Xenopus tropicalis: one gene and its partners. The protein of the gene in region 3 purifies or fractionates together with the protein of the main gene of each other region. This does not show direct contact. Links are inferred from orthologs where the notes say so. Each region holds a gene or a part of one and is shown on either strand. Other genes may lie near its edges.

The links. Proteins that work in one complex are often made in the same cells at the same time.
Region 1: the proteins of vars1 (region 3) and eef1b2 fractionate together in Homo sapiens (co-fractionation; 3 studies listed by BioGRID, with this or other methods). This does not show direct contact. The link is inferred for Xenopus tropicalis from reciprocal best matches to the Homo sapiens genes VARS1 and EEF1B2.
Region 2: the proteins of vars1 (region 3) and eef1g purify together in Homo sapiens (affinity purification with mass spectrometry; 6 studies listed by BioGRID and IntAct, counting the BioPlex papers as one, with this or other methods). This does not show direct contact. The link is inferred for Xenopus tropicalis from reciprocal best matches to the Homo sapiens genes VARS1 and EEF1G.

Annotation. Positions count from the first base shown.
Region 1 is NC_030685.2:50,702,990-50,710,661, forward strand, and holds eef1b2 (elongation factor 1-beta), read left to right. Parts: upstream 1-2,458; 5' UTR 2,459-2,504; coding exon 2,505-2,584; intron 2,585-3,148; coding exon 3,149-3,271; intron 3,272-4,390; coding exon 4,391-4,526; intron 4,527-5,045; coding exon 5,046-5,112; intron 5,113-5,725; coding exon 5,726-5,851; intron 5,852-6,120; coding exon 6,121-6,275; 3' UTR 6,276-6,339; downstream 6,340-7,672. UniProt on the Homo sapiens protein: Catalytic subunit of the guanine nucleotide exchange factor (GEF) (eEF1B subcomplex) of the eukaryotic elongation factor 1 complex (eEF1).
Region 2 is NC_030680.2:36,803,882-36,811,693, forward strand, and holds the start of eef1g (elongation factor 1-gamma), read right to left. Parts: upstream 5,215-7,812; 5' UTR 5,209-5,214; coding exon of another isoform or gene 5,197-5,208; intron 4,364-5,196; coding exon of another isoform or gene 4,205-4,363; intron 4,050-4,204; coding exon of another isoform or gene 3,986-4,049; intron 2,809-3,985; 5' UTR 2,683-2,808; intron 2,163-2,682; coding exon of another isoform or gene 2,038-2,162; coding exon 2,020-2,037; intron 928-2,019; coding exon 784-927; intron 420-783; coding exon 290-419; intron 1-289. UniProt on the Homo sapiens protein: Probably plays a role in anchoring the complex to other cellular components.
Region 3 is NC_030684.2:75,093,750-75,101,403, forward strand, and holds the start of vars1 (valine--tRNA ligase), read right to left. Parts: upstream 4,221-7,654; 5' UTR 4,102-4,220; intron 4,000-4,101; exon of another isoform or gene 3,905-3,999; intron 3,002-3,904; 5' UTR 2,986-3,001; coding exon 2,671-2,985; intron 2,579-2,670; coding exon 2,435-2,578; intron 2,198-2,434; coding exon 2,083-2,197; intron 1,502-2,082; coding exon 1,347-1,501; intron 1,244-1,346; coding exon 1,159-1,243; intron 548-1,158; coding exon 447-547; intron 1-446. UniProt on the Homo sapiens protein: Catalyzes the attachment of valine to tRNA(Val).

The DNA of each region.
Region 1 (7,672 bases), on a different chromosome or scaffold from region 3:
GCTAGTAATGTGTGGGTTGACAGCCTCTCCAAAACTAGATTTTTATGGTGTACTTTTTATTTCTAAATGACACTGCGTAAATTGGTACATTGAAAAGGAATCTACGATTTAAAATGTTATTCTTAAACAATAAATAATATTTGGTGTATTTTTTTAAGTTTCAATATTGACGTGTAGGCAGTCATTTCAGAGCATTGTGCTAGATCCTGTGCTTTTAGAAAGTGCCAGCACTTCAGAATGCAACTGCTTTTAGATTAGCGATTTTTTTCTCCTACTCAGGACTTCAGTTTTAAACTATTAAGTGCTACGCTCATATCTACCAGGTGTCAGGGAGCTGTTATCTTGTTACCTTCCCATTATTTTGCTTTTATGCTGCTGTAAGGGATAGGTATGGGGTGACCACTCCAACTTGCACTGCCACTATAAAGAGTGACTGAAGTCTATCAGAGAACAAGTCACATGGTTGTGGGCACCTGGGAAACTAAGAAGATGTCTAGCCCACATCATATTTAAATTAAATATGAAAAAAAAATATATGTTTGCTCTTTTGAAAACTGGGTTTCAATACAGGATTTTGTTGTATGAGAGCTATATTTACAGATACACCTGTCACCCTGAAATTGTTTCCCCCACCAGTGGTGCAGGCTAATGGAGCCTGCACTCCAGTTGGGGGAAACAATAGTTTAAAAAAAAATAATAATAAATAGCCCCCACCAGCACTAGGCTGCCTGCACCAGTAGGAAGCTTTTGGTGTGGGTGGCTATGTTGGGGCACATGCAAAAGGATGAGCGAGAGCAACATCTCGCTCATTATGCACAGGTATGTGACATAAATTGCAATTCGCAATTAATGTCAGATGATAATGAGCATGTGAGGAGACTGGCTTTTTATGCACGCTATAGAACAGTGATCCCAACCAGTGGTTCATAAGAAACATGTTGCTCCCAGGGTCCTCAAAGTAAGAGCTTATTTTTGCATTTCTGGCTTGGAGGTAGGTTTTGGTTGCATAAAACCCAGTGTAAAGCCAAACAGAGCCTTCTATAGGCTGCCAATCCATATAGGGTGCAACCAAACAGCCAATTATAGCTCTTGTTTGCACCCCCAGGAACTTTTTCCATACTTGTGTTGCTCCCCAACACTTTTTCCATTTGAATGTGACTCATGGGTATAAAAGGTTGGGGATGCCTGCTATAGAACATGACAGCCTTCACCAAAAGCTCTCTCCCAGTGTGTGTGGGCTAGTGCGGCTGACACACACCAAAAAATTGTTTTTCCCAAACAGAATGCTGGCTCTATTAGCTTGCAACTGTCCTTGGGGAAACATTTTTCAGGGTGACAGGGTGCCCTTCAAGGTATGGTGTTCCAAATTCCAGACAGATCCCTTATCGGGAAAACCCCAGGTTCCAAGCATTCTGGATAACAGGTCCCATACCTGTATTATACTTTATCCCACCCCACAAAAAAAAAAAAAAAAAAATCTGCCATAGCCATTGAGCCACAAGCCAGGTCATAAAAACTAATTTTAATCAATATTACAATATTCCCTATTTGCTGAGTAACGACTTAACCAGCGCAACCAATTGCATGTGTAATTTTCGCGCAATGTGCAATAACTAAGAGGTTAGAGGATGTGCAAGGAGAGAAGCGCATTACTGAATCCCAGCAGAGCTCTGAGTAAAGACGCGCACCCATGCACAGACTATGGAACGCTGTAGCCCGCGGGTTTGCTAGTATAGGAAGGGATGGAGTCTGGAAATCTTTAGCGAATAATAGAAGAGTCCAAGTCCTACCGAACTAAACTACATCTGTCAAGGGCACAAGAGTGACCTACTACCTTGCTAGACACACAGCCAACACCATTACACCGTAACGCAGGGTTACCGCATCGGTTATGCAAAACATTACAAAGAATTGCCATTTCCAAACCACTCACCCCACCGACTCCCCTAAACAGCTCTGGGAATATTTGGCCTTCTAGACCAGAACAGCCCTGGCCGGCACCCTTGACCAATATGGCGGATTTAAGCAACCTCCGGAACAAGCCACGGAAGATGGTAAGAATTATACGTAACTGAGAAAGCTTCGGTAACTTCCGCACAGGCAAAGACTAGAGATCGACAAAGTCCGGCAAAAATGACGAACGAGACTCGGAGAAACTTCGTTTCCGAAATGTTGCGAACGCAACATCGTTAGTCTTCGGCACAGGCAGTTTCCGGATCGACTTAACATCGGCTATCTCCGTGATAAGCGGCAACACATGCAATCCCAAATATTTCTGCAGTCGGAAAACGAAGATATGGTCTCCAGTAAGTAATACTTTGCCGAAAGGGTGCGGATAAAAAAAAATATAAACTTGAAATGATGTACATGTTACATAGTGAGTCTTTAAGGAAGGCTTAGCCCGCCCCTCGTAGCCCCGCCCCCTGTCTATAAAAGGCATCTACCCGGCCTGCAAGTTCTTTTCTTTACCCGTGTGTGCTAGGCTTCTTGAGTGAATTGCTGTAATGGGTTTCGGCGATCTCAAATCCCCTGCAGGCCTTAAGGTCCTGAATGAGTTCCTGGCCGACAAGAGCTACATCGAGGGGTCAGTGTGGTAAATGCTATATTATAGTTGTGCTAATGTTCGAAAGGACAAGGAATGTGTAATATGAATGAACGTGTTGGCTTCCAACGCGTGGTCCTAGGCCGCAACCTCCTGCTGCCTGACTCCTGAATTCTTTTAGCTGCAGTGCCGTAAACGTGTCACAAAATCCCAAGTGATGTAATATGTAAAGGCTGCCTGGTTAATTGTGCCTTGTGCTTTAGTTATGTATTCTTTCTAATGTTAATAATTAAGTGTTTCTTGGAATCATTTGTAAATGTAATTTGTATTAAAAGCAGAATAGGTCTGGATTTCTACACTTTCGGCACTGCTGGCTACGACTGCTGAGCCGATGTAGCAGAAGCCAGCTGCTTAAACTGCACTATGTCAGAGAACGGAAAATTATATAAACTGTTCAGTGTAACTAAATGTGCAAATAGCCTTAAAACTTGGATAATGTTTATAGGAAACAAATGTTTGGACACTATTTATACAGTTTTTTCTACTGTACTATATTATGTTTAGTGGTTATGCTGCTAATTGTATATTTACCCCCACCCTTTTCAGATATGTCCCTTCCCAGGCTGATGTTGCAGTATTTGATGCCCTCTCTGGTGCGCCCCCTGCTGACCTTTTCCATGCTCTGCGTTGGTACAACCACATCAAGTCTTATGAAAAGCAGAAAAGTAGGTAAGCAGTATGATAAAGTATAGCTATTGCTTTCACAGCAGTGATTGATAAAGGAGCATGGTTGAAAAAATATGATACTGTGCTGAATACAATATTCTTTGTTTTAGGTTGAGCTGTTCTACAGCACTTTGAAGCACGTTCACTACTATACTTATCTAATCTGAATCAGATTTTTTTTTTTTTTAATTCGGTTTATTGGTTAACATCCAGCTGAAAAATCACTGCCTATGGCTGTAGTGCTCATGCAGCCAGAAAGTGGCTGCAACATACATAAGCTTTGATAGTACTGTTGGCCTGCTGTAGAATGTAAATGGGCACAATTCTAATTAACATGGATCATGAATGTGTATCATTTTTGTGGTCTATGAAGTATTTTAAAGGAGTTGTTCACCCTTATGTTAAATTTTAGTATACTGTACAATTTTGAGACAACTTTTTTTTTTTTTTTATTTTGGTGTTTGAATGATTGTTTTTTTGTTAAACCGCTGTCCAGTTTCACATATCTGGTTGCTAGGGTCCAATTTAACCTAGGCAACTAGCCAGTAGTTTGAAAGATGGAAAATTCAATATAGGAGGCCCTAAATAGAAAGATAAGTACAAAAAAAAACAGCTTCACAGAGCAACAGATTTTTGGATTCTGAGGTCAGTGACCACCCCCCCTCATTTGAAATCTGGAAAGAGTCTGAAGAAAAAAGGCAAAAAAACTATACACCATAAAAATGAAAACCAACTGAAAAGTTGCTAAGAATAGGCTGTTCTATAACATACTAAATGTTAACCTGAAGTGTTCTCTTTGACAGTAGGACAGAATTGCATTCTCTTGGCTTAATTGATGCTAGCTGAGCACACAGAATGCCCAGTCAGACATGCAGAGGAGCCTCGTCAAATAGTAGCGTGGCTACCCATATTTGGGCCAGCTTGCAGTCATTTGCAGTTAAGATGTCAGTATTGTAATTTGTTCTCTATTGTAATTTGTTCTCTAAAGTTGTATGTAATTCTAGATAACTGTATATTCCTTGTGACTCACCTCTAAGCAGCTGCTAATGCAAATAGCCTAGAAGTATATTTCTCCTTTGTAAAGTAGTTTTTTTTTTTTTTTTTTTTTTTTTTTTTTCCTAGCCTGCCTGGTGTGAAGAAGCCTCTGGGAAACTATGGCCCTGTTAACATAGAAGATACTACAGGCAGTACAGCAAAAGATACCAAGGAAGAGGATGATGATGATGACATTGACTTGTTTGGTTCAGATGATGAAGAGGTGGGATGTGTAACAATCTTTAGATGTAATAAAATTAGACCTAAGAAGCATAAGGTGCAGAATAAATTACACTGGCTGTACAGCTGTGTCCATAATTTTTTTTTTTTTTTTTTTAACATGCTGTTCTACAGACTGAAATGTAAAGAGAGTTTGCTGTGTTTCATGTAGTCTCCTTGTGGACAATGAACGTAGCAAAAATGCGTGCATGCTTTAATTGTGCTCCACTGTAACCACAAATTCATTATATTACATGCCCAAGGCACACTACTATGGCCACATACCTGAAGCAGTGTTTGCTGTTGGTTACTAAGGTTCTAAACATGTGAAGGGAGTTGTGTAAAACACAAATTTGGCTGTACTATATTCAGGCTGGTCATGTGATGAATGAGCTAAATCACCATCTTTCGGCTGATTTGTGATGCATATTGTCTTCTAAACTGACTACACCAGCCTGTTAACTTAAAAAAACAAAAAAAAAACTTGCTATTGTGCAGAATCTTAAGTTTTTCTATTTCATAGGAAAATGAAGAATCAAAGAGGGTCCGCGAAGAACGCTTAGCACAGTATGAAGCAAAGAAGTCTAAAAGTAAGTGGCCTTCTCCCGAGTGTTTATTCTCCTTAAGGCATATGTTTTTAATTGTTTTGCCTTAAGAAAAGCAAAGTGCAATCACTACCTGTTTACATACTGGTCTTCAGTTCCTTTTTTTTTTTTTTTTTTTGTGGAATGGAAATACTTGCCACAGATACTGGTCTGGAGCTGTATTACTATGTGGCAGTTCCAGCATTCCTCCTGTGGCACATTAAAATGTTTTGCAGCTTTATTTCCTCTCAGTCTGGGAGGACTTGGCTGTATTTCAAACATGGTTCTGTTTTATTCTGTACCACTGTCTACAAACTATATGGTGTAAACCTTAGTGTAAAAAATGCCATATAGTATTGTTATAGTATGTTCAGCAAGGCAGTGGCTATGGTTTGTGACTTAGAAAGGTGTAACACTTGACTTTCCCACTAGAATTTTACTTGTGCTTTTATTTTGTGGGATTTTGGGGTAGTCTGAATGTGTGGCTTAAGGCTGTTAGAATGTGTATTCAGTTTATATATTACTAGTCCTTTACTTGCGGACATAATCTAATTTACACTTCTTCACAATCTTCAAATTCTCCAAAGGTGATTAAATCTTAACCAATTTGTTTCTTTAGAACCAGCACTTATTGCCAAATCATCCATTCTTCTTGATGTGAAGCCATGGGATGATGAAACGGATATGGCCAAGCTAGAAGAGTGTGTCAGAAGTATACAGATGGAAGGCTTGGTGTGGGGAGCATGTAAGTTTATATTTTGTAGGTAGTCTAAAGAATATCTTCACCTTAACTGTAATGATGATTAAAATATCACCATCTTTCGACTGATGCTAATGATGGATGTATTTTTATTCTGACTGCCTTTTATTTAAACACTGTAAAGGTATGTGTTTACTGAATGTACAAGTCTTTACATTCTGACAATATGTAGCAAGTAGACTTGATTTAAAATGCACATTTAATGGCTTTATCAACCGTCATCTGTTATCTCAATTGTTCTATTCCTTCTGCAGCAAAGCTTGTTCCTGTTGGATATGGCATTAAAAAGCTGCAGATCCAGTGTGTGGTTGAAGATGACAAAGTTGGCACAGATGTTTTAGAGGAGAACATCACTGCATTTGAAGACTTTGTGCAATCCATGGATGTTGCTGCTTTCAACAAGATCTAAACTGATTTCATGAAGCCCCCATACTTTTACAGCACTTCAAATAAAAACATTTGCTTAATGTGAAGTTGGTGTTCACTTTGTATTGTGGCTGCTTTCCTTGCAACAAAGTTGCACGCATTCAATCTATCTTGCCTCTGTAGGATTAAAGTATGCCAAATAGGCATCAATGTGTTTCAATCCACTGTGGATGGTTGTCTGGATGTAGAAGATGATCTCTAATGGGTCATAACTTGGTGTCCATTGTTGCTCTGAAGTCCACAAAAGCACTCTTGGCTAATTGTAACAAGTTTTTGACTTGTGGTATGCATGTGGAAACTTAGTTTTTATTTAAGGGCATGTCAACCCCAAACATTTTTACCAAAAAAAAAAACCTTGTTCTAAGCAACTTTCCAATATGCATTTATTAAATTAGTGCTTTTAATAGTTAATCTGTAAATCAAATTGCTATAGAAAGCAGCATTTGCTGAACTCCTGGTTGTTACTACTTAAACAATGTTGCCAGACCCCTCAAACAAGGCAGGTCTGTAAAATCTGCTTGTGTTACACTGTTTCAGGTGCCAGAGCCACCAGGGCAGAGAATAGGACAGGCAGACACTGCTGGATCTTGTAGCCTTCTAACCCAGGTTACAGCCAGACAGGAGGGGGTTGGGAGCCACCAGTTGGACAGCACTGTCTTAGCCAATAAAGGTATCACCTTTTATACCACTTTTGTTATTGTTTATTTCAAAAGGGTTGCCCTGTAACATTTACATCCCTATGTTGTCTCAGTGATTATATTACATTTTTGGCACATTTTTAGCCATTTTATTCAATTTTCAATTCTGCAAAGATGTTGGTTTGTTTCTGTCTGTAAAATTTATTTGGCTAAGCTAAAATATTCAAACTACTGATTTTAATTATTTTTTTGCATTCTCCATTGTTCTTTGGTACTTGTTTGTGCCCTTGGAAATTTTGTCTGTTATTTATCTATTTTGGGTGCCTCTGCATGCCAAACATAAGAACATATATGCATATTGGCATCAAACTGTAAGTAGTTCATATGGTGTTCATATTTAGAATGTTTGATGTTGGTAGGTTACAACTTGTGGGGCATATAATAGGGTAAAATGCAAGCTTTGTGATTTTCAGGAATTTTATGAAAACTGCTGCATTTAGCATAGTTTTGCTGTTTGGTAGTTTGTAGTAGAAAGAAGTATTTAACCATTTTGGTTTTATCAGAATGTGTACTATCAGAAAATATATGGTTTTCTAGGGTCTCCATACCGTTAGGGGGTCTTATGGCACATAATACTCATACCAGGTGCTTTTATGGCAGCAGCCAGAATGTCAGACATGAAAATTGATATGCACTATTTGTATTTGGTCTCTGTATGTCACATAGCTTGGTAGATGTATGC
Region 2 (7,812 bases), on a different chromosome or scaffold from region 3:
ATTTGTTTATAGTTGAGCTCTAAATCAAATTAATCGGTTTTGCTGACCATAAGAGCTACTCAGTACAAGAATGATTTAGCGCAAAACAGACCAAACCTGCCTTGCAGGACCAGTAACACCAAAAAAATTATTTCTTAAAGTAATTCAAAAACACTGTTCTGCACAGGTAAAAGTTGTGTGTTTGTTTATATAAACTATACCAGTGTTTCAGAAACAAAGCTGCTGTGTAGGCACAGGGTAATAGGGTAATGGGATAGAAAAGAGAATTTTATAGGATGTTCAGGCTCACCATCAAACTGTGCCATCTTGTCACAAAGCTTGACTTCTCCCAACACAGCACGGAATTCTGGCTGATTCACACAGGTCACAAACCACCTTGTAACATTACCAAATGGCTGGCGGAAGGATGGTTCCAGGACCTATGGATAAATAGAAATTAATATATGGACACTAAAAAGAAGTGCTACAAAGGCTGACAGAAATGAGTGTGAAAATATGGGGATGTAGATACATGAAATGGGGTAAATGGCGAGGATTATTATACAGAAAGTTAGAATAGAAAAAAAATTAAAAAAAAAAAAACTTCAGTGTTTATGTATTCTGAGTGTGGGAAATCCAATAAATGATGAAGAACTGGTATACCAGAACAGGTATAATGGATCTTTATTATAAACAGTAATATAGTGAAGTATATGGCTAAAGGAGGCTACAAATTCACAACAGGAATACAGTTAGGAGGAATAAAAGACAAAGGAGAAACAGATAAAAATTAAAGTGTCAGACCTGCTTATAGAGCCACAGAAGAGAGCAAGTAACTGCTATATCAGCCAGCGTGACCCTCTCGCCCACTAGGAATGTCCGTGTCTTCAGATGAGAATCTAAAACACCCAGCACAGCCTTTATCTCCTCCTTGGCTTGTTCTGTGGCCTAGAAATATACAGAAAGAGCCATAATCCCAAATGGCCAGTTTTAAAAGGACAGAAATTGAGGTAAAATGGTCTATTATTTTCTTCAATCTTCAATTATTTTTGCTTCTGAGGCTTACTACCTTCTAACAAAAAAAACCCTATCCAAGAGGGTTGTTGAGATAACAAACAGTCGTGTACTAAAAAGTAGCCAGGAAGACTAGAATCCGCCATTATGCCAACCAGGGGGAATTAGTTAGGGTTGTGACACAGAGAGATTAGTCGCTGCACAGAAAACCTCCCCAAAATGCCATCCCACCGGCTAGAATGTAAATCGCCGGTGGGATGGCATAAGCATCAAGCGTGATTCGCAGAAGTCGCCTTGAGAGGAAACTCTGGCAACTTCCGCAAATCACACCGCCGCATATGCCATCCCACCGACGATTTACATTCTAGCCGGTGGGATGGCATTTTGGGGAGTTTTGTCACCCGTGACTTATCTACCCGTGTGTCACAGCCCTTAAGCAAGCTGCTATTTTCCAGCTAACTGCACAGATCACTTCACACCATTCAATAAACCGAAAGATACATATAACCATAACATTCACTAAATAAGGGTGGGGCAGAGATATACACACACTTTTTAAGGTAATCTTTCAATTTAAAACAGTTAAATCTTGTTAAACCCATATCGATCTTGGATCAGGCAGTTCATCCATCTCTGACAACTGCCTCGTGTTTACTTCATCTAAAGCTATGGCTGCGGCAAAAAGTAGGGTGACCCAATCACTTGAAAATTCAAGGACACATCTAGTACATGTCGCAGGAATTGTATTTCAAATCAGTTCAGCCCTGCTAGCTGGATTTATTTTTTCTCTTCATTACACGTCCCTGAATTTTCAAGCAATCTGGTCACCCTAAAGGGTCCTACTGACCCCAAACATTATGGGTGCTTGAAGTATTTGTAAAGCAAAGTATTTCATAATTCATCTCGACGCAGCACAAAGTAGAAAAGGAAAGGCCATTGTTAGATGAATAAATAATTTAGCAGATAAGCACGCAGCAGTGTGTAGTTAACCAAAGAAAATAAAGCAGAATAATGAACCCTTCTTACCTGCTTATTGTATTGCATGATCCCCAGAGTGGGAAAGACCCATGCGCTGGCCGGAGGGACAATGTGACTGTCTGAGAAGCTGACCCACTGGATGACCTGAGCTTGGTGTAAACGATTGGTTCCTCGGAGCTCATCATTGCCCACTGTCAGAGAAATATGTGAGAGGTGAGAATTAGGTTTCCTATTAACACCAAGTCAGAGAAAGTATGAGACATATGTGACAAGTCTAAAGGTGGCCACACACGTGGCGATTTTTGATCTTTTGTGCGATCGTTCCAATCCGCCACTAACATTCAGGGGTGAAATGGCAGATGTGGAGGAAGAAACAATAGGATTTCAACGAGGTTTCATACGATATTATCGGTGCATGTATGGCCAGCTTTAGGGTGAGAACACACAGAGCTACTAGTAGCAGCTACTTGCCGTGACTACTAAAAAAGAGAATGCTGATCATTTACAGATAATTGCCTCTACATGTGTTTTAGCAGAGGCAATTCTCAGTATTGTCTATGGCAGGGTATTTTCTGGAGTTTAGTAGTCATAAAAAAAAAGTAGCTGCTACTAGTAGCCCAGTGTGTCTTCACCCTAAGAGTGGACTTTCATTATACCCAGTCTGCAGGAGCCCGAGACACACAGAAAGAGGGACAAAAAGAAATGGATAACCTTGATGTAGAATGATAAAGATTCACAGCTCATCTCAGAGCTCACATGCTCTCCAATTTAAATCTGAGACTCCAAGTCAGCATTTGTCTTGTAGTGCAATTCTATGCATTCCGCCACAAGGAATGCCTATAAAAATATGAAGAGATTAAGGTATAATTTGCCAGGTTGCTATTTTATGATTTCAGCTTTGCAGCTGCTGTTTGAATGGCCAGCTATCCATAAGTTTTTTTTTTTTTTAATAACCTTTCACAGGAATACTGCTTATGTTTATAATTCCACCTTAGTGTAGGGAGTGCAAGCAGCAGAACTATAAGTGGCCATCTCCAAAGATAGAACACTTCCCAAGGTTCTCAACCTATAATGGGACATGCCAGCAGGGTTGATCGATATTGGCGAGTACAGAAAATCTGTATTTGTCCGAAATATGTGGAAACATCTTTACTGAAATGTTTTTATGTAAAATCACTATTTCTGGGCAGTTTCCCACCAGGAGGCCAGCAGGCAGGATATGTGACTGAACCTGGGCCTGGGCTGGGGATTCCATGGATTGATCTAAATAAATAGATTTTTAAGAAGAGAAAATGGCCAGAACGAGAGCAGAAATGGTAGGTGCACAATTTTTGGGTTATTTTAGGACCATCCAAACAGTGACATAACTAAGCAGCACCTGGGCCCAGTTGCAATTTTAAATGCATGCACTCCCTCCTCCTCTGTACCCCTTTCCCCATTCATTTATTTGCAGAGAGCAGAAGAGCAAACATTGGAAATAAGGAGGGAGAACCATACAGCAGACCAAGCCTGGACTGGCAATCTGTATATTCTGTAAAATGCGAAAGGGGCTGCTGTAAGATGCCACTGGGCTGGGGGTTTGGCCTCTGTGTACTTGAAATGTTGAGGCCTATTTTGAATCCCAGTCTGGCCCAGCAGCAGACCTTGAGACCATTATACCTCCCCTGTGGCTGTGGGGTCTGCTGTATACTAGTTACAGCAACAACCTCCAAATTAGCTTCTTAGGGTAAGAACCCACATAGCGAGTTACTCACCCACAACAGACCGCTGCTATCATGGGCGAGTAAACGCTCTGAAAAGGCTTTTCTCCTGCAGGCAACTTCACGCAACTTTGGAAACCGAAGGCCTTTTCACCCATGACTTCTACTGTTGCCGATGGAAAGCCTTTTCGGAGCAGTTACTATCACAGGTGGGTTCTTTCCCTAAGGGCCAGAGAGTAATTGCTAGGTCTGATTCTATAAAGGCTAACCTGCTGAAGATAAAATGATAACAAGAGATAAAATGATTGTCTCACCATAATGAGCAATGGCGCTGCTCTCAAAAAGGCAAAAACCGTCGTTGCCCTCAAATGCTGGTACCTAAAAGTCCAGAAAGAGTTTGATTAAGGACAATAATATTACCTTAAAAAGTTCATTACATCCAGGGCTACAGTATGAATATATACATACTGTACACACATTGCAGATTATCTGGAGGGGTTGAAGTTGAGGGACTATGGAAGCAAATGCATTACCTTGCCTAAGGGGAATTTCTTTAGGAACTCGGATGTCTTATTCGTTACTCCAAACTGGAATTCTGGAGGAGAGGAGGCAACCTTGATGGGGAACCCCGAATACTGAGCAGCAATGAGGGGCTTGTATGCCCTCCAGTTATCAGGGTATGTGTACAGAGTCTGCAGAGAGAATACACACAGTTATACATTATACACACTGAGGCAAGCAAATATTGTACAAAATGATTATCCCCAATCATATGGGACTTTGCACCACCAGGCACCATATACAATTCCATGTACCATATTTAGGGTTGCTGAAGGAAACATTTTCCTTTATATATCTAACACATTCTAATGTACACCCAAGGCCCTGGAAAGCAGCACATATCTTACTACATGCCATATCACTATTCTTATGTGAAGTCTCCTACTGGGTAAAGCTAAGCCTTGGCAGACAACAGAATGTAAGCCTAAAATCTTTAACTCAAGCAGCTACTTCTTGTCTTTATACTCTTATGGCAGCAGCAAATAAAACCAGGGTTGCCACCTCACCACTTTACGCCACACTACTAACATGTATTAGCTACAACACTGCATGGCAGCTCAAAAGCCTTCCCATGCGTTGGAAGTTCTCTATAGAGAATACTGTGCATCTGTCACATGTCACTGTATAGAGCCGCTGTCACACAGCAGCCGGTATTACAGCCGTACAAATGGCGCACAGAGCGGGAGAGAAACGCGTGTGGAAGGAGCAGGCAGGGACACGTGACTAGGGGCAGTTACCGGGGCAGCGCCGTATTGCCCTCTCTTTGTACCGCTCCCCTTAGTTCCGGGTAAAGCCGGGCACTATTCCCACTAACTTTACCCCATACTACCAGCACCAAACCGGGAGATGAAAGGTGACCCGGATAGCAGAGCGCACCCCATATCCCAGTGACCCACACTACGGCCCGGATATATCATAAGCTGTCGGATGTGGATGGATTTTCTGGGACCTATTCATTACTTACCCCGCCGGCCATCTTCACGCGAGTAGAAAGGGAGGAGCCGCAGTTCCAGCTCTCCGACGTAATATAGGTGCCGAAAACAGACTACGGGCTGTCGTAAAATAGAGGAGTGTAAGCGACGGGAGCGTAACGTGACGCTTTCGGGACGTACAGGCAGGTGATATGTGGCAGTATGGGAGATACAAAGGGTTTCTGTCAGAAAACCCTACCCCAAAAAAAGGATTCTATGGAGTTAAGCTGTGATAGTGAGTTTAATAAGCTGAGAGTGAGAGGGATTCACTTCCCTGGCAGAACCTTCCAGAACAGCATAGAGGGATTTCCTTGCAATGTAGGAGCCAGCTGCTAAGGGATAATACATTTAGTCAGGACCATAGATAGAACTAACATATGTGGCTGCCTGAAATATGTATTATAGGTGTTATTGAAAAGTCTGTTAAAATGACCTGTCAAAGGTCATTTGGGGTAGAAAAGTAAGGTTTATTAGACACTTAATTGGGTTCTGAGCAAAACATAGAACAAAACCAGTGTTGCCAGATTTATTTTTCCAAACCAGCCCAAAACTAGCCAAAAGCCACTTCGAAAGTAGCCCAAAAATAGCCCAATATACAAAATGAAAACAAATTCTAAAAAATAAAAGTATATATGGGAAAATGCTTTTTTTGTAGTGTATAATTACTACCCATGCCCTGTGCCCTCTCTCCAGTTACTGGGATGGCTGATGTTTCCCAGCCCCCTGTGCCCAGTCCATGCAGGTTATAGTAGTTTTGCTGGTTCAGGTTCAGCAAAGAGGAATAGAAAAGGGAGCTTCTGTCTATAATTGCATGCTGGGTATTGTAGTTTTATATTAATCTTAGCTGTAGGCTAATTGTAAGAATTGTACTTTCTTTTAAAGTAACTTAAGTTTTTGCAAAAGTTACATAAATTGCATAAGTGTAGTGGCCCAATGATGTTGCTGTGGGGCCCAATAACCAGTCATTCCTCTGCTGTAAAGTTCATGCAGGAGTGCACAAATCCATCTGTTAATAGTTTTCAATATAAACAGCCGACATTACTCTTTAATAAATAGTTAAAATGAGTAATTAATGTGCTAATGTAATATGAGTAGTAATGTAATAATGAGTCAATTCACTGGGGACAGTAACATTTACCTTGACTTTTTTGATCTATTGGGGGGGTCATATTGGGATATGCAAGTTAGGTTAGGGTATTTCCATACAGCTGATTCTTGAATCTAAAAATCTTTCAGTTGTGCCTGCACCCGGAAGCACTGAATCCGCCTGGGTGCAGGCACACGCATGATATTTCTGCCTGAAACTGCTTGGAGCAGAGGGGCCGATTCTTGGAAAGCAGAAAAACAGTTTCTGAGAATCAGACCATCCACTTAAAAATCAGCCCCGTGTGGCATTACCCTGTTTCTAGCCAGTTTTTGTGGAAGACATGTAAATTATGTAAGTTCTAAAGCAACTTTTGTGATGAGGCCAGCCCCCCCTTCTGGAGATTTTACTGGGCCCGGTACAACAGTACCCCCTCTCCCTCCTTATAGAATTAACCCTATTTTCTTAATAGGAGAGGAAGAAATTAGACTGCAAGCACACCAGGGTCAAGGAATCATAAATGATTTAGTGCCATTTACACTGTATAAAATACAAAATACCACATTACTGTACACAATACTAACCTCTAAAATATTTATTTTAAAATAGCAATGCCATTAGCAGTAAATGGTGCAGTCGGGGGCCCTCTGATTTGATGGAGCCTGAGACACTAGTACTGTTTGTTATCCCTGATGGCAGCCCTGCTTATACCGCATAATGTACCCCTAATTGATATGGTCATTGAATGCCTTAGTGACCGCTTACATCTTATAACATCTAATGCTGAGCATACAGAGGCAAATCAGCATATATGATAAAGTGACCAAATCAAGCTTGTCTTAATGGTCCCTAGGCCAATAGGTTGTTCTCATGGGGGGGTATGCAGACTTCCAGTAAGGAAGCATTATGCAGTAAATTAGTTGGAAATCAGCAAGCTGCAGAGTCACTGTAGGGATCAGTTGTGCTCTGTAGTGATGAGTAATCACTTTTAAGGGCTCAGCCCAGAATGCAGAAGAGAGGCAACATGCAGCATTTCATCTGCAATCGGAGTGCCAGTGCAGTCTAGCTGGGTCTGTTACTTCCTTCCTTCCGTGTACAGTGAAACACAAGAATAAAGCCATCCCTCTGAAGCAAAGAACAAATGCCATTTGAAATAAAAACCCTGCAGCCAGCAGGTAATGGGGCAGATAATGGCGATGAAGCTCTCAAAGACTGCCACCCTTCCCTTTGATGGCAAATTGGCTCAGCTATGGCACCATACAGAAAATATATGGCACCCAGTGTGCAATGAAAACTTAACCTTTCTTCCCAGATATTAAAAGCATGATACTGGATCAAATGCTGCTCTTAGTCAAGGTGAAATGGGAGCAATTAACTGGGTGTGGCGGTTATGTGTATGTATCATGGTAGGTATTATAATTGCAGTAATTATCGTCTGGGAAAGAGACATTATGGGTGGCAAGCATTATAGCTTTTTCAGGTTTGGCACATGGTCTTATGGAGCCCCCTTAACACATTTATGCAA
Region 3 (7,654 bases):
ACCTATTTATTTTCATACAGCAATAAATCATTTTAAGCACATTTGTAAAAACATATTTTGTCCCAGACTCGAAAAACATATGATCCAAATTTGATGCCCAAAGGAACAATTAAAAGGAGTGGCTATATGCTTTGGACAAGTAGCTGATACAGGCTTCCTAAATTCAAGTAACCAACAGAAGCTGCTTGATGCAGCCATAAAAGTAGTTTGCATGAAAGCATTGATCAGCTCTTGTATATTATGTCCTAACTGTCAAGTGTTTAATCCATAAAACAAGATATACAGCATGTAACTTGATCAATACAAATAACAGATGAGAAAGGTTGTTTTTGTGTTTAGAATACTGAAAAGAACTTCAATGTGATTGATTTAATAGACACACACATTTGCCTCGCTTATTAACTAAAAAATGCCACATGCAGGCTTTATTAACATCTCCGACTCACCCCAAATTCGGGCTTGAAAAACTTCTCTTTTTCCCACCATGAGTACCAAGCAGATTCTACATACTGGGGACTGTAGGAGTCAGGCATAGGACCAGAAACATCTACCAGATAAAAATGAATACAAGAATTAGAGAAACATACAGGATTAATGGAGCGGTAATATAGACTGGATATTTGGAAACAGATTATATGGGCTTTGCAACTACAAAGTGCCAGAATGGACACAAAATTAAGCATGCATTGTTTTTCACAAAGGTACTTTGCTCCTAGCAACATGCAAAACACCAATGCACCTCTTTAGACTTGCACACAATTGTACATATGAATGACAGGGAACCCTAGAGCTACTGCCACCCTGGACCTCTCAGTTTTTCCACTGTTTCCCTTGAAAGTTGCATCTATGGAAACAAGTGACTTGAGCCAACCAAATCAGATGACAATGATATTAATGATGGCATGCCAGAAGTAACCTGGAACCACATACCACAACTTTACAAAAAGTGTGAAGTAATTTGCATCCGTTTTGTTTTATTTTATACGAATTGCAGAGAATGCTACATAGTGGTTGCCCTTAATAACACCAGAATCCTGGGTTGAGGATAAAAACCATGATAATTTGCTTCCAAATGTTGCATTATTGACTTACTTTAGAAATAAGCCTTACATCTTTTAATTTCCACAAATTCATAATTTACGTTGCACAAACTGTTACCTTTTTTATCACCTGCAGGAGTAGGAATATCATATGTAATCACCCCAAGTTCTTTCTTGTCTTTCTTTTCAGGTTTGGGCTTTTTCTGTATTTGAAAGTTCAGAAAGAGAAGGTGTAAATATTTGTTTGGACTGTGTGTGTAGCGTGGTAGGGGCTTATCATGTTGCCTTTAAACAGGCCATGCCCACCTCCCCCTGCAGTTCTTTTATTTTCTCTTGCTTTTGTTGGAACCGCTCCAGTTTTTCTTTCTTCTTAGACTCCTTCTTTAATTGGGCTGCAGTTTTAGGGGGGGCATTGGAAGGGGTACCAGAAGGACCATCTGAAGTTTTTGAAGCAGCAACATCTAGGATGAAAGCAAGTCACATGTAGAAGGGGGGTCATCAATAACTTCAATCCTCAAAGCTGTCAGATTCCACTTTCCCTAACATGCTGCCAGCTTTACATATTCCACTTTCTCACTTAGTTAACTCTGTTACTTTCTTTCGGTATTGTTTGTGGTATGAATGCACTTACTGCAATGCTTAATAACCCTATCTTGGGGCACCCCTTATAGCATTAATTTATTCCAGAAGGAACAAAAGGAGTTGCAATAGCAGAAGCACTAGCACTGTGCAACACACCTTGTACAGGAAAGGTCTGCACAGCAATGTGTCTTTATCATGCTAAATGTGAACTTTTATTCTTTTCTAGTGCTTCATCATACATTTCTTTTAAATACATTTTTGATCCCTAAGTTTGAATAAAATCTAGAATCCCTTGCAAAATTTTCCAGCTAAACTTTCCAGCATTTGCAGTTTTAGGTGTAATGCCTTTGAACCAGCCTCAATATTGAAAGGTGAAGTACTTTATTGTAATTATGCTAAAGGAAAAATAAAAACTTACAATAAAATATGAAAAGCCTTGTCACTGAGCCATATATGTTACCTGTTTTTAGAAAGTTAACCTCCCCTAGAATATCTTTAAACTGCTGTTGATTAATGCAAGTTTGGAACCACCGAGTAACATTAAGAAGTTTCTCTCTTCTTGTGGGAGAAAGAACCTACAAAATAAACAAAACAATTGGAAAGGGAAGTGGTGACATGACCAATAAGAAATATAATGTAAAAAAGGAGAATCATAACATTTAGGTGTCTTTACTATTTATGTTGTATATGTGAGATGATTTTTGGTGTTAGGATACAATTTCCAGCATCCTCTCACAGATTTAAATGACTGGTGCTATAATTCAACAGAAGAAACACCAATACCTTAGCTGGTCAGCAGATAAAATACTTACTTTTGTATAGGGACTGATCAAACAACACGCTACAGCAATGTCTGCAAGACTGATGCTCTCTCCCACAAGATATGTGCGAAGTCTAAGATAAAAATCAAGACTATCCAGAATCTTCTGCAGCTCCAGAAGAGAACGATCTTTAGTCTAAGGAAAAGGAAAACTTTCACCATATGTACCATAGGAAATTCATTTAGGGTTAAAAATAACAGAATTATGCAGGCACTTTAAATCTGTACCTGTGAACGTTCTGCTCCATACACAGCAGGCAACAACTCTGACTCTGCATAGCTCACCCACTGTTTAACAAGAGCACCGGAGCAGGGGTCACATCCTCCAGAAAGTGCTTCAGGAGCAAGCATATATGAAACAGCCCAAGAACCCCATACTGGTTCATTGGAGGGTGAGAGCAAACAAGGAAGTGGTAGTCCGTGAGGGCCAGAAGACACCTCCTGTACTTTTGGCTTACATAGGGTAGAATACTGTCCAGCAATGCGCACCCACAGAGATCGCGGGTCTGATGAGGTGGAGTTCGGAAGATAGAGGGTAGACATGGTGAGAGAAAGAGACCTGTAGGGCAAACACAACCGTGTGTTATTGTGAGGTAGGCTCTAATAACTCAAATACAGGCATTTTCAATGCATAGAAAATTATTATTGTCCAAATATTTGCTTCTTTATTTATATTAAACTTATTCTCAGTGGTTTATTATCAAAATGAGGAGCAAGATGAAAAAAATGGCACAAAGCTGTTGCGCCTCCTGGGCAAAAATAAATGACTCCTTTAGTCTTATAATGGCATTAGCTTACTCAGGAAAATTAAATCTAAACAAGTTGCATTTACAAACTTGCTGTCATCTGCACTATAGCAACACTATTTTGTGTTGCTATGGCTAATTAAACTGCTGCTATGTTTTTTTTTTGTTTGTTTTTTTATTATACCCTATTTATACAACACCAGTGTGTTATGCAGCACTTTACAGAAACTACTGATCATTCACATTGGTTCCTACCTCAATGGAGCATACAATCTAAGATCCCTAGCATGCACATACACATACTATAATCATGCCGATCTCATTTCATTAGGAGACAGTTAAGACCACCAGCATGTTTTTGGCCTGTAGACTCTATACAGATAGTGCCTTTCTCTTAAAATCAAAGACCCCAGTTCAGTAAGTGGGTCAGTATTGGTAAATAAGTTCCATTGTCTTTTACCAGCAGCCAATGACAGCACATCTGGTCTGACCCTACTTGACCCTGCTATACTACATTACTTTCATTTGTTCATTTTTCATTATTGTTCACTAACTTGCTATGCTCCCACACCACCTCTCATTAACTCAATTCTAGACCTCCCTAAGTGTTAACCTTTTTTTACATTTGCCCTTTTTCTGCTCTGTGCCTTCCGCATTCACCATGCCCCACTCCATCATTCACTCTCATCAGTATTATCCCCTTTCCATTCTCTTACACACTTTTCTTCCTCTCGTACTCCTCCGATCCGTGCAATGACGTCAAATGTATTACCCACGTGTATTTTTGCTCACCTTCTTACTTCCTACTTCCGCCCTTCTTTGCAGCTGCTGGAAGGACAGCAAATTTGCCCATAGTAGGCTGTTCTTAGTGTGCAGTAGCCGAACGCTCTTTATTTTTATTTCTCTTACGTACCTTCTGTTAACTCAGTAATTACAATTGCATATAGTTCTGGTTGCAATATTATTAGGGTCCTTCCACAATACACGCGAAGATTTCTTTTTAGACTTTGTAGCCCTAATAAGACAGGCAAACAAACCGGCCGATAGGTACAATAGAAGACGTACTGCCGGAATCATGGCGTCAGGAACTTTAGTGCTGACACCTAGTGGGCGAATACGGAAATATCAACCTGATGCAATTTATAGTAATCCAGCTTCTGATATTGAAAGTAATTATACTAGATTACTATAAATTTCATCAGGTTGATATTTCCGTTGGTGTTAAAGCGAGTTACATTGATTCATTGTATAGCAACAACTGTCGAATTAACACTGGTTCATTGACAAAGATGAAGGGCTATTTAAATTACACATTCATGTAACAGCTGGGTTCTGTAATTTTTGTCACATGTAGGTAGGGTTGCCACTTTTTGTGGGGAAAAAACGGCCTGCCTATATTTTTATCTTTCTTCCCTATTAATAATATTGGTATCAAGTATCATTTTTACCATCCAGGCTGGTAAAATTCTGGCCAGGTGGCAACACTACATGTAGATGGCCTAGACTACTTAGTTGGTAACAGCCGCTTGTCTTGGTATAACAGTGTGTGTCTGCTAACGGTGCAAACACGTAAAGACTACATACGTCACTTTAAGTTCTTATCTGGATTGTGGCATGGCTGAAGTACAATTTGCTCTGTTTTTTCTATATTAAATCTGGTAGACCAGTGCTGAGCATTTACCAGAGCTGGGCCAAGAAGTATTAGCACCAAAGCCAATACTAGTTTTCCTGTGCCCACCCTGCCCGACAATTACTCCTTCCTGTGCCAGCCTGTAAGCAAGACAAAACACCACTGCCAACAAGAGCTGACACCTGCTTCAGTTAAGGTTTAGCAAATGCAGAGAAACCAATCAGCTCAGGACAGGAGGAGCTTGGGGCTGGCGACACTCCCTTACACTAGCCAAAAGTAACATAATTTGTATTAAAGGCCAATGACAGAGTTGACAAAGTGAAAAAATATTTGATCACCCACCCCTAACAACTTGTCACCAGGTCTGCTTGAAGGCAGTAGTGGGGCCAGGGCAGAAATCTTATTGGTAGGCCACTGCAACTATACATTTCTCCTTTTCCTGTGGCCAAACTTAGACAAGGTGGCAAAGTGGTAGAATGATTACATCAGTAAGTTGTGTTAATAATTTGGGTAGGAGCAGTGATGTTCAGGTTGGAGCAGGGGCACTTACTGCTGCCCTGAGGCAGCCTAGCCAATGCCACTCTCCAACCCTATGCTTAGTTTTTTTCTTTGAGAGGGCAGCTCTTTGCCACCCCTGGCAACTTGAGGGGTGATGCCTCCTGAAGTAAATTTCTCAACTCACCTCATGGCAGTAGCGCCCCTGGTGTGTAGAAATGGCTGTAGAGTGGGGCTATGACATCAGGGGCCAAGATTGGGACAATTTTTGCCTGGGTTTCAGAAGCCTCTTCTGTATGCCCCTAATTCCAGCCCTTACATTAGTGACCAAATGGGAACAAATAACATAAAAAGTAATATAATAGCCATGGCAATTAATCAGTCTTTTATTTAAACATAGCAAGGAATGGGCAGACACATTTTCTGTTAGAGAGGGCACAAACTTTTTTTCTAGTTCTAAATAAAAAACAAAAATCAGAGACATAAAGGAGGATGATCAGGGACGCAAGTTATACAGACAATGTACCATCTGCTGGTGTCTTGAAGAAGTGCCCATGGTATCAGGGGTACATAGCAGCAATCCTAGATGTGGATTGAACATTAAGTGGTTTGTGCACAGTAAGGTACACTGATTGAATATAAAGAACTGGGTGAGACACTCTGGTATTGTGCATGAGTAGGAGTAAATTATTATAGTACAGCAGTTTATGACTGCCCATTTTATGTATGCCCCAGCAGGATTAAGGCAATAAGAGACTTTTTGATTGAGGTTTTGACTGAAAGGTACTGTACTAAAACTTATTATACCCACTGGAGTGTAAAGGTGGCACAAACAACGGGTCTGCCGGACTGCCATCTAGCCTGAAATCAGACAGATCTCGATTGTGCAGGTTTGTTTTTTCCATTGGATTGGGGACCGCATTGGCTCGATGATGCAGTCCCAGAACCAACAGCGCCTATACCTGCCATTCTAATTTGATCATTTGGCCCCAGGGCCAAATTTTTAAATTAGCCCAATATCGACCTCACATTCTGAGTTTAAAGGAGAAGGAAAAGCTAAGTCACTTGCCAAATGTTAGGCACCCCCAAGTGACTTGAATCGCTTATCTTCTACCCCAGACTGGTGCCCCTGTATAGAGAGAACAGCACCAGCCCGGGGTAGCAGCGATCGCTTCCTCCTTCCTTCTTCGCTGTGCGCACATGCGCAGTAGAGTGAAAAACAGAACTTTAACAGAGAAGTCGGCTTTTTCACTCTACTGCACATGCGCCGGACTCGGAGTCGCAGAGAAACTAAGGTGGAAGGAGGAAGCGCATCGCCCCAGGTGCCCCGGGCTGGTGCGGTTTTCTCCTAACAGGGGCACCAGCCCGGGGTACGAGGTAAGCGATTCAAGTCACTTGGGGGTGCTTAACATTTAAGCACCCCCAAGTGACTTAGCCTTTCCTTCCCCTTTAACAGGAATGTGTCACCATTCCTCAATATATCCAGATACAACTAAGTGTTCCAATCACTAGTTCCCCCTGCCTCTCCTTCCCACATGTTGATCTGTGACAAAGTACAAGTTCCTGAATTACTTTGTACTTAAAGGCAGGAAAATGTTCTGATGAGTGGCTGGGGCGCTATTTACTTTTGTCCTCCAGCCTATTAGATAGCCCAAAACAATAATTCATTGTGTCGGAGATCTACATAGATAGTAAGTAGCAGGCGTGGAGAAGGCAGGAGAGCCAGAACATTCCTGTTAAAACCTAGAACTTTTAGGGCTCTGGCACACGGGGAGATTAGTTGTCCGCTACAAATCTCCTGGTTTCCTCTCAAGGCAACTTCCGCGATTTCACTGAAATCACACCGCCGCTTATGCCATCCCACCGGCGATTTACATTTTTGCCGGTGAGATGGCATTTCGGGTAGATTAATCGTCCGCGAACAGGGAGATTTGTTGCGGTCGACTAATCTCTCCGTGTGCCAGAGCCCTTAAGAACTATTAAGTTATCTCTACTGTACATTGCCATGTCACAATTTGCTGGCCTTGACTCTTTAGGGTGAAGACACACTTTACAGCTACTAAACACCAGAAAATACCCTGCCATAGACAATAATGAGAACTGCCTCTGCTAAAACACAAAGAGACAATTATCAGTAAATGATCAGCATTGCCTATTTTAGTAGCCATGACAAGTAGCTACTACTAGTAGCTCCGTGTGTCTTCACCCTTAGTGAAGAGCAATTTTAGTGGTTGAGTCTGTAATACCACCTGAGTACATGCTCAATCCACTTCAAATGCATTTGCATTATTTGTATATGCCTTTCTCTCCACTAAGCAAGCATTTTTCCAATATATATCCA